3 linked regions of the Macaca mulatta genome follow. The protein of the gene in region 3 interacts with the protein of the main gene of each other region in a biochemical or structural test. Links are inferred from orthologs where the notes say so. Each region holds a gene or a part of one and is shown on either strand. Other genes may lie near its edges.

Region 1 (3,753 bases), on a different chromosome or scaffold from region 3:
AGGCAGAGGTTGCAGTAAGTGGAGATGGCACCACTGCACTCCAGCTGGGGCAACAGAGTGAGACTCTGTCTCAAAAAGATAAATAAATAAAATACCTCAGTCATGATGAAACAGGAGGCTGGACATGCCTCATTATATCTTCTCCCTTTTGCAGTTTAGACACAACTGACTAGCAACGTTAGAGATTATAAGACTGAAAGAATGGATTATTGGTGGCAATAAGATTTTTGTAGCAAATTTTAAACAAGACCTAAGGCTATAATAGGCAAGAGTTAAGTCATGCATCCCTACACTTAAAGAATAAACTATGTTCTAACTGCCACAAAGTATTTTTCTTTTTTCTGTAGCAGCTAAACAAGCACTGGCCTCGAGAGGAACAATATTAAAACAATTACAGTTCATCCATAGGCTAACTGACCCCCTGTTCCTCAAGCCATAACTACAGTTTTAATTGGACAAATGACTGATTTCAGTAATTTTCTCCTGATAAGAGACCACTGACCATGGACTGGTTCTGGCTAGTCTACAGAAGCTGCACATTTGAATGCCTTTGTGTCCCTGCTTCGCCTTTTCATGTATAAGGCCTAACTGTAATGCAATTAAATGTTAAGTCTCCACCTCAGAGTGACCATGGGTGGTATATAACATGCAAGCTTATTCAACATGCATGCATTAGGACTCCCTTCATGAATATTCATTGCCTCTGCCATAACCTATTGGATATGTATACTTAGCAAACCCCTTCAGCATAAATTCCTGTGTCACTTTCCTCCTACAAAGCTTGCTTTTGGTTTTCAACCAGAAGCCGAGCTTCTCAGCTTGTTAGAATGGCTACCTTGCAGACTATAACCCTTCATAAGAAATGAAGTCTCCTTTCTAAATTTATAAATTGTGTGATTTTTTTTAGTTGACAATTTTTTATTTCGCTTTTCTGTGCATTTCAATAGATGTAAAAAACATACCTTTATTCATCTCGAGATGTAATTAAAGGTTTTCCACCTTATTTACCTGCCTCTCCTATCCAGATAAAGTTTGTCAAATGTCAAAAAAGTAAATACAGAGCTTCAAAAGATGTACACCAGACTCTAAAAACAACTGTCAAAGAGAATTTCTAAAATATGACAGCCTCATAAGATACAGCAATAGGATACCCTCTGTCAATACTTCAGAAGGAAATCCTGGGTAGGGCACATAATCACTGAACTGTTATTTTTTTTTCTAATCTCCCACTGCTTTACAATAATAACTTACATATTACAGTGACACTACGTTCAATGTTTCTTGTTAATTTATATTTCTTGTATTTTTATATCTATCTAATATAGAATACGATCTCCTTTGATTAGACCAAGGCCTCACTCACAGAAGGTAGGGACTATGTCTAAGTCTTACTTCAATAGCTGGAAAACCCTAAAAGACTGGAAAACTCACTCCTAATGGCCACTTGAAAGCCTGAGAAGACCTCCCTCATACTCCATTCAGAAATATTTTCCCAATCTAGATATTGCAGACATTTCTTCACTGGAGGATCTGTGTTAAGCATTGCCTTAATTCCAGGTTCTCTCCATAGTGCATACTTTCTTATATAATGTAATGTGTTAGATCATTAACAACTTCAGATAAATGAGTTTTGTGAAGCTCTCCTTTGAGAGGAAAGAGAAGATTAAGTTTAAGAACCCTAAAAAATGTTTCCATAATTTCAAATCTCACCAGCCCTGTGGAACACAAAGCTCACCCCCACTTTTTTTTTCTACCATTTATCCCTAAGAGTAGCTAGTCCAATGTTTGATTAAAAAAAGAACACAGAAGCCAGATAACCAGCTTCTCTTCAGACAATCCCTCTTCCCATTCTGCAAATGTCAATGCCAGCCTCTTCCCCTTAAGGATGCCTGCCCAGCCACCCAGAGCCCTGAGTACTGTCCATCCCCCGTTTCTAAGATCTCTCCCCAACTCTTGAAAGTGCTTTTCCTTTCCCCATCCCCTTTATCAAATCCCAACTTACAGAGAGGCAGGAAGCATTGGGAGCCATCTTTGCAGTCAAGGGGCCAGAAACCAGAGACAGAAAAAGGATTTTAACTCCAGCTTATATACCAGCGTTGAATTGGAAATCCCCTCCTGGATTGCTGTGTTTGTCCAGCTTTGCTGTGCCCTTTGTTCTTGCATGCTCCCATGAATTTTCTTTCACTTTTGCTGGGCAGGAGTTAATAAACAAAGAATGCTTTCTGATTACGTACTTCTCCCCTCAGGCAATCTATTTGCAATCCTCATTCCAAAAGGGATGGTCTTTCTGTGTTGAAAACTTTTCCCTGATTAAAAATCCACTCCTCCTCTCCCAGTTCTGACTTATTACTGTCCGTCCTGTGGCCTGGGCCCTCACTGGCGTGAAGACCTGTAATGCTTGCTGAACCTCTCATGCTGCCTTTAAGAGCACCCCATTACTCAGGGGCCGTCCTAAGAACGAGAGCACCCAGGCAGGATACGGCAGTCAGCATTGTGTGGAGTGCTGTGACTGTGAGCCTGACATGACTAGTCTGGCAGAAGGTGTAAAACATGCCTTAAGAAGACATAGGAGAAATAACCTCAGACTGAGAGGAGATACGAGTTAGAGTCCCAGGAGGGCCACTTGCTACATTACCTTGGGCAAATCCATTCATCTCCTTAGATGTTGGTTTCCCAGTCTATAAAATGAGATGACTGGAAAAGATTCCTAAGTGTCTTCCAGGCTCAGAAAACTTTGCTTGTAAAATTCCCTTTGCAAAATAACATTGGATTTCTGGGTCTTGAGCTCTCCAACATACGTCCTACCCTGTCCCAGAACCTGCAAACCAAATCCACTACTTGAGAACAATCCTAAGCCAACAATTAAATGCTGACTCCTCACTTCAACACACAAAGCAATCAACATCCACTCTCACACTGCGGGGCCTCTATTTCTCTACCTTTACTCCTGGATGCACCTCACCACTGTGATCTCAGACAAACCTAAAGGTGCCGCTCTCTCTCCCTCACCCTTGAGACTTAGATGGAGACAAGAAAGGTGTGCCTGTCCCGGGGAAGTTTACTCCATCACTCTGATCCTCCTCGTATCCCAAATTAACTACTGCCCCCTCCCAAACTCTCAGGGCATTGCTATGGAACCAGTTTTTAAAAGCTTTTTTTTTTTTTGAAATGGAGTCTCACTTTGTTGCCCAGGCTGGAGTGCAATGGTGCGATCTCAGCTCACTGCAAGCTCCGCCTCCAGACTTCAAGTGATTCTCCTGCCTCAGCTTCCCGAGTAGCTGGGATAATAGGCACCTGCTAATTTTTGTATTTTTAGTAGAGACATGGTTTCACCATGCTGTCCAAGCTGGTCTCGAACTCCTGATCTCAGGCAACCTGCCCGCCTTGGCCTCCCAAAGTGCTGGGATTACAGATGTGGGACAACGTGTCCAGCCTAAAAGTATGTTTTCAAGTGCTTCAAATCTTTTCAAAGTAGGAAGCTCTTTAAAATGCCAAGTTATCTTCTCTGTTTGCAGAGGCATTTACTGTACCTTCACTCACTGACAGATCGCAAATGACCCCATCTTATTCTAGGAGGTTCTGTCCTGGAGAATCGAATTTACAGAAGTACTGGATTGATGTAGAGTAATAAAATGCAACAGCTCATTTCTCTACTTCAAAAGCTTACTATAAATCATGTTCTTCTATATGAAGCTTTTATTAGATAGCTAATAAAATTGAAAACATTAATTATTATTTAAATGTATTTTGTGG
Region 2 (3,653 bases), on a different chromosome or scaffold from region 3:
CCTTGGTATGTGCTGTAGTGGGGAGTATACGTGGACTTACATCCATTTTTGGAGGCACTACAGGTTTGTCATCTGGGTTAACTGAAGAGCTAAAGTTCTCAGCAGATTTTACAACTCCAGTTGGCTTGGTTTTAGGCAGTTTCTTGGAACGTTCATATTGTTCTTTGGCTTGAAGCCACACTTGAACCAGTTGTCGACTTGGGGCACATTTGCAAGGCATAATCACAATTTTTTTATCTTCAACCATCTTAGGGCTATTACTTGACCCTTTATTGACAACTCCTTGGCCACTGCGAAGGGGTGACCCTGGCCTTGGATTCTGAGTCATTGCTGAGAATGCTGTTTTCCAAAGACGAAGTCCTTCCAAGGAAAAGTCTCCCTCAAACTCAGCCAGATCATTTGCAAGTCGAGTTTCTACCATGAGGAGCCGTCCACCAATCTCCCTATAAACAACATATTTTAGAACAACTGTTTTGTTTCAAAGAGCAATTACTAAAATATTTAACTCCATATCCTAGATAAAGTCCCTTTTGGAGTCTCAAAAATGTCCATTTCTATCTTCCCTGCCCCCTCTATTTTATGTAGGTACACTCTATCTTTAGTCTCAATATGCTTTTCCTCACAGGTATATGACTACTTAATTTCCTTTGGAAGGTACCATTAATCTTAGGGAGAGAAGGTATTTTTTGTTTTATTTTAATGCCCAATGAAGCCTTCTGTCCTTCAAGGAGATGAAACAAACTTTTCAGATTCCTTTCCTCTCCTAATATTAAAGTAATTTTCCATTATTACCACATATGAATAAAAACAATAAAGTAATTTATCATTCAAATACTATGTCCTAGGATATTATTCATAGCTTCTTCCTATATTCTCCAGTATTTGTAGTTTAGCAAAGCGAGTCAATTCAAATGAATCTTCGTACTCTCAAATCCCTTAAACATTAAAAAAACATACCAACTGAGGTAAATTATCTAATTCTTTCTTCCCATTCCATGGTAGGGATTAACATTGACATAACTTAGGAGATGGCAGAGCCCACAGGATACATGGCTTAAATGTTACCAATGTATGAATATGTGGGAAATCACTAATGAAAACAGTCTGGTTTCATTTCCAAAAGCTATAAATATTAAGTAAAACCTCTTTCTCTAATCCCTTGATACTATTTCTGCTTACTACAGCAACATAAAATAATTCTACTTCTTCATGTTAACTTTATTATGGATATAAAGATAATTCATAGTTTTTTCAATCACTTCTCTTAGGGTGTGATTCCCCAAATGTCCCCATCATTCTCTACATAAAACTCCACTAACTAGATTCATGTTTTCAGATCTGAAGCTGAAGGAAAAGCATTAGGGCTACCCTGTCTCCTTTATATGAAAAGACTTTAGCCCCTACTAGTTAACTCCATAACCAGCATCCAGCACTGTCCCTGCATCCACTCTTGGCAATGTGAAAAATCAGAAACAGAATTATGATTGGTGTTGAAGAATTAATGCTGTTGAAGGAAATGAATACACATACCAAGTGACCATACCCAACTCTAATACTAAGGATAGAGAAGTCATAATGAGGTCAAGAATAAAAAATGGTGAGGTGTGGTGAATTCAGTTTTCTTACGTACTGTCAGCAGCATGGTAATTGCTATAATTCACTAGGAAAAAAAATCTCCTAATATGTAACAAGAGTCTTATATTTTCCAGTAATCCTACTTCTAGGGCTATAAGGACAAACTCCAAAATACAAGAAATGCTTTAAGAAGAAAATGCTAATATCTTCTTAACATACATAATAATATACATACTATCTATAGTGGCAAAATCACAAACAATCTTTCTGTCCAATAATATATACATGATGCAACACATGCAGCGATTAAAATATTCAAGAAACTCATTTGGAAAATGTTTACAATATAATGTTAAGTGAAAAATGTGGATAATACTGTGACTACAATAAGATCACACTTCACAAAACAAAACAAACTAAAAACTATACTTTTAAAGAAAACAGAAAACACATCAAAATATTATGGTGGCTGTTACTATATGGAAAAATGGTGTAATTTTTATTTCTTCTTCTTTCATACTACCTAAATTTTCTATATTGAATATATAGTTTCTTTTTTTTTTGAGACAGAGTCTTACTCTGTCACCAGGCTGGAGTGCAGGAGCGTGATCTTAGCTCACTGCAACCTCTGACTCTCTGTTCAAGCGATTCTCCTGCCTCAGTCTCTTGAGTAGGGATTACAGGCACATGCCACCATGGTCAGCTAATTTTTGCACTTTTAGTAGAGACGGGGTTTCACCATGTTGGTCAGGATGGTCTCGATCTCCTGACCTCGTGATCCGCCTGCCTTGGTCTCCCAGAGTGCTGGGATTACAGGCGTGAGCCACTGTGCCCGGCCTACAGTTTCATATTTTAAAAAATATTTTTCAAAAATGATTATTTTTTATTTTAGCTGTAGGACAAGTGTCAAAGTTGGACAATAACAACACAAACATAATGACTAGCACATAGTTTGGTAACTAAAAGTAAATATACCATAATCACTACTGATAACACCAAAGTCCCCAAAATGATGGAAACTAATGTTTAAGGAACAGACTTCATATGCCCCAGCAGTGAAATAAAGAGTTCCATGTGGGTACTAAACAAAACTGTGTTGAAAAGGGGCTGGGAGGTGAACATTTCTACCCTTCACTTCAAGTCATTATAGGAGAGAACTTTTATTCTACATTTCTGATAACATTTTCTCACCCCTTTATTAAAAAAAATAAATTTTTATCATGTATATTTAAGGTATAAAATATGATATAGTATATAGTAAAACGGTTCTTACCGTGAAACAAATTAACATATCCATCATTTCACACTCTCACCCCTTTTTTAAATGGATTCCTATAGGAATTACTGTGAATCTGCTGGGTAAAAGCCTGGCATTCACTGTCGTGTTTTTTTAATTTAAATTTTTTTGAAGATATTTTAACAGCTTTAGGTTGACAGCAAAATTGAAAGGAATGTACAGAGGTTCCCATATACTCCTTGTGTGCCCACACATACATGCCCTCCCTCATTATCACCATCTCCTACCACAGTGGTACACGTGTTACAATCAATGAACCTATTTTGACACATCGTAATTGCCCAAAGTCCATAGATTATATTTGGGTTCGTTCTTGGTGTGGTACTTTCTATGGCTTTCAACAAATGTGTAATATTCATATTGTATCTTTCTTTTTTTTTTTTTCCACTGGAGTCAGGAAGATGGTGCTGCCACAGGTCAGTGCATACATGCAGTGTGGCCTCTGCTGCTCTTCATATCTCTTTCCAAGATTTAGACTAAGGCAGGGCCTGCCTTAGCAGTTCCAGCCATCCTCTTCTGCTTCTGAATGGATGGTTGAAATGAACTGCCTGCTCTGCAACTGTTTAAGTATATGAGATCATGGACACAGGGGCAGGAACAAGAACCATCATTCAAACTTTCTGGATTAAGCCACGTTACCCAATTTAGCTTTTATCAGTTATGTCCTAACTTGGCGATGAAAGTGGTACACAATTACTCAACTACAGATAAATAAACCACTACTGTGATTTCTATTTTGCTATTTGCTGCATGTGTGCGTGTGCTCACATGTTTGTCTATC
Region 3 (3,753 bases):
CCATCCCTTACTCTTCAAACTGATCAAAACATGATATACAACACTGTACAGGCAGAACTCTAAGCCAGTTCCCCACATTCCTGGCCCCTAGAGAGCACACCTACATAATCCCCTCCCCGGAGTCTGGGTAGGAAAACTACAAATATGAGCAGATATCACTTCTGGGACTAGGTTCATCAAAAGGGAGATGTGACTGGGTCTGACTTAATCAGGTGAGCCTTTAAAAGGGGCTGGGGTCTCCCCGAAATCACAGAGATGGGAAGTGTGAGAAGGCTTGTGGAAGGGCTAGCTGACAAACATAGCTGGCCTCTGGCCAACAGCTGGCGAGACAAAATGGACCTCAGTCCAACAACCCCAAGGAAATTCCGCCAGAGGGCTTAGAAGGACCCCAAACCTCAGATGAGATCCCACTTGCAGACCCTTCGATTTCAACCTTGTGTGACTGAGCAAAGCAGTCAACAATGCCACGTCCAGACTTCTGACCTACAGGACTGAGAAAACGAATAGGTGTTGTTTTGAAGTCACTGATGTGTGGTAATTCGTTATGCAGCAAACGGAAAACTAACAACACTCAAGTATTTCTCTTATAATGTCTGGCAGATATGAGAGTTTTTCAGGCGTCGTTTTACAAATATCTTCCTAGCTGCTTTAAGAATAAACTTCTTTCAAAATGGACATGAACATTAATTGTGCAATATGTCCTTAATAATTCTCACCCTTTTCAATGAAAAGTCATTGAGTTTGGTGAGTCAAGATTCATTGAAAAATTCTTCAATGTTGATGGGCCTCTTTGGTGAGGTGACCTTATTCCTGTCCTGCCCCCTAAGGGTGGGCAGGGTGGACAGAACGCAGCCTGGACTTCCGGATGCAGCCCCCTACCGCCCGACTTGCCTACCCCGCTGGCCTCGGAGGGGTGGCCCTAAGCCCAGGACAGACGTGGACAAAGGGCAGAAAAAAGGATGCAGTTCTCTTTAATCCCTAACCCAATTTCTCGGGAAAAGCCGCGCTCCCACACAGAAGGCGAACCCTCTAAAGCTGTGGGTTGGCTGCTGTGCACGTAGTCGCTTTAGGAATTCCCAAAGCATCTAGCGGAAGTTTAGATCTTTCACTAGGGGTCACATGGGCCAGTACGGGCGCAGCTGGCAAACCGTTCCTTTCAGTTTGAAAGTATCTTTGAAACTCGGAAACTGTGCTCCTTGGTCTTTCAGTTCATAAGCCTAGAGAGCGGCTACTGAAATTGGAATCGACATCTTCTTCCCTCGGCCCCAACTAGTAAACCACGACCAGAAGACACAGCCTAACCTAAACCTACCGGAGTGTCACAACCGGCAAGCGCGAGCAGGTCCACCAACTCCGCCTGCGCAAACCGGCCGTTCCCGCGAGATCGCAGGAAGGCGGAGAGAAAGGGCAGGGCCCCGCCGCGTGGGGCGGGGCTTAGAGGCTCGTCGCGCCTGCGCAGAGGACCGGACAACGCGCTGCGTCGTTACTTTTGAAACGCTTGGCGGGGAAGTGCTGTGGGAGCCGCTGTGGTTGCTGTCCGCCGAGTGCAAGTGCGTGCCTTTGTTTGTGTCCCTGGCCATGGCGCTGCAGCTCTCCCGGGAGCAGGGAATCACCCTGCGCGGGAGCGCTGAAATCGTGGCCGAGTTCTTCTGTAAGTCCTCGCGCCGGCCATTATATTGGGGGGAACTGAGTCGTGGCGGCTCAGTAGGCCCACAGCTCGGCCTCTGAGACCGGAGAAGTAATCTGGGAGCGGCGGCTGCAGGCTGTTCCTCCTGACGCGTTGCTATAACGTGGAGCTGCAAGCCTGCGTGCTGCTGGGGCCTACCTCGCGGCGTAGCCTCTTCCGGAGCGTTTCTTCCTTTAAGTGCAGATCCGTCCCACCTCCCACCCCTTACTTTCCGATACAGGACACAGCGTGACTGGGGTGGGTCCCAGTGTGGGTGTGTATGTGTGTGTTTTTTTTAACTGCGAGAGCACCCTCACCCTCCCACTCTAAGTGATTATTAGGCATGAGGCTGGCGGTAAACAAGATTTTGGGAACCCTTGTTCTCGAACAGGCCAGCTGCACGTTGTAAAGGAACCTGGCAGGATTTGGGAGGGAAAGGGGAAGATACAGGCTTGTCTGGAGCAAAGTGACTATTCAGTCAGTTGCTGACTCGAATGCAACAGCCTATTTTGACATCCTCTAGCCTCATAATCTGAATTTGGACTTGGATTACAATGAGGTGAAATTTGGCAATAGTAGGTTGATACACTTTGGCTTTTTTTTTCCTTGGCACGTGAAAACAATTATCTTTTTTTACTTAGATACAAGACTTTTAAGGATTTTTAATGCCACTTTGTACCTACTCTGCTTTCAGCAAGATACACGTGTGTTCAGTCATTTATAGCTGTATAGCCTAATGAAAATATAGCCACATCCAAATATATTTTATTTTCCAGAGTTATGCAGTGATAATGAATTTTCTGTAACATTTCTTTTGCTTGCAGCATTCGGCATCAACAGCATTTTATATCAGCGTGGCATATATCCATCTGAAACTTTTACTCGAGTGCAGAAATACGGACTCACCTTGCTTGTAACTACTGATCTTGAGCTCATAAAATACCTAAATAATGTGGTGGAACAACTAAAAGGTATTTAATCATTGGAAATAATTTGAGTCTTGCAGATTTTTTAGCATCTCAAGTGGTCATTTTTCCGCTCTGCAAATAGAAGTGTACTCACATCTCAAATATATTTTAAGTTGAGAGGAAGCAAATAATATATAAAATGGAAGAAATTCACTCTTCCCCCACTACATTGTGAGTGGGCTGAATATTTTGATGTAAGAAATCTGATATGGCTGAAAAATAGTCTTCATCAACTCCCTTAGAAGTGGCTTTCGCAGTTAATGTGGCCAAATGGAACAGGTTGGAATTTTACATAATTATAATGGTGTTCACTATCTGAGAAAATATACACTACATATTCTCAATATAATGTATTTTCTGTAACTAATTAGTTTTCTGTAGTCTAATGTTATCATTAGATTAATATCAAGGAAATTGGATTCAACCAGATAAACTTCAAAAAAAGAAAAAGATTAGCTGCTAAATGACAGAACACTCACAGTTTTTTTGTTTGTTTGTTTTGTTTTTCACATATTTCTGTTTGTCGTTTTCAAAAATTCTGCCGGTGATTCAGTAAGCCTTTTCTGTCTGAACGTTCGTTTTTCTTTAGTTCGAGAAATTGCTGTATTACCTGTCGGGTGAATACTTGTTCTTCATCTATTTCTTTTTCCTTTCTAGAATTCCTGTTAGTTTCTCTTTCTTGTTACCCTCCACTTAGGATTCTCATTTCTAATTTTTCAAATGTTTCTCCCATTTGATCTTCTAAAATTTTTGAAAGTACTACAGTGGGCATCTTTTTTTTTTTTTTTTTTTTTTTTAGAAATTATTTCTTTTGTTGTTGACCAGAAATGTGTCTTTGTTTTGCCGTTTTTATTGCATTTTTACTAACCTATTTTTAATATGCCCTTCCGATAATGGCCATGTGAACTTTTTTAGCTTGATAACTCTCTTTCAACCTATACTATCCTCTAGATAAACTGTTAACATTGCCTTGCCTTTTATGTGTACAGGAGTGGAATGCCTCAACAACCTGTGGATGTTACGTCTTAAATTGACAGGCAAGGGAAGATAGCCCTGTTGACATTTTGGCCTGGATATTTCTTTGGTGTGGGTGCTTTTCTGTGTGTTATAGAATGTTTA

Evidence for each region.
Region 1: the proteins of MAD2L1 (region 3) and UBD form a complex in vitro, tested with the Homo sapiens proteins (2 studies listed by BioGRID). The link is inferred for Macaca mulatta from reciprocal best matches to the Homo sapiens genes MAD2L1 and UBD.
Region 2: the proteins of MAD2L1 (region 3) and REV3L form a complex in vitro, tested with the Homo sapiens proteins (2 studies listed by BioGRID). The link is inferred for Macaca mulatta from reciprocal best matches to the Homo sapiens genes MAD2L1 and REV3L.

What each region holds. Positions count from the first base shown.
Region 1 is NC_133409.1:153,782,399-153,786,151, reverse strand, and holds the start of UBD (ubiquitin D), read right to left. Parts: upstream 2,396-3,753; 5' UTR 2,030-2,395; coding exon 2,003-2,029; intron 1-2,002. UniProt on the Homo sapiens protein: Ubiquitin-like protein modifier which can be covalently attached to target proteins and subsequently leads to their degradation by the 26S proteasome, in a NUB1-dependent manner.
Region 2 is NC_133409.1:16,441,590-16,445,242, forward strand, and holds part of REV3L (DNA polymerase zeta catalytic subunit), read right to left. Parts: intron 444-3,653; coding exon 1-443. UniProt on the Homo sapiens protein: Catalytic subunit of the DNA polymerase zeta complex, an error-prone polymerase specialized in translesion DNA synthesis (TLS). Lacks an intrinsic 3'-5' exonuclease activity and thus has no proofreading function.
Region 3 is NC_133410.1:128,907,324-128,911,076, reverse strand, and holds the start of MAD2L1 (mitotic spindle assembly checkpoint protein MAD2A), read left to right. Parts: upstream 1-1,503; 5' UTR 1,504-1,578; coding exon 1,579-1,651; intron 1,652-2,490; coding exon 2,491-2,637; intron 2,638-3,753. UniProt on the Homo sapiens protein: Component of the spindle-assembly checkpoint that prevents the onset of anaphase until all chromosomes are properly aligned at the metaphase plate.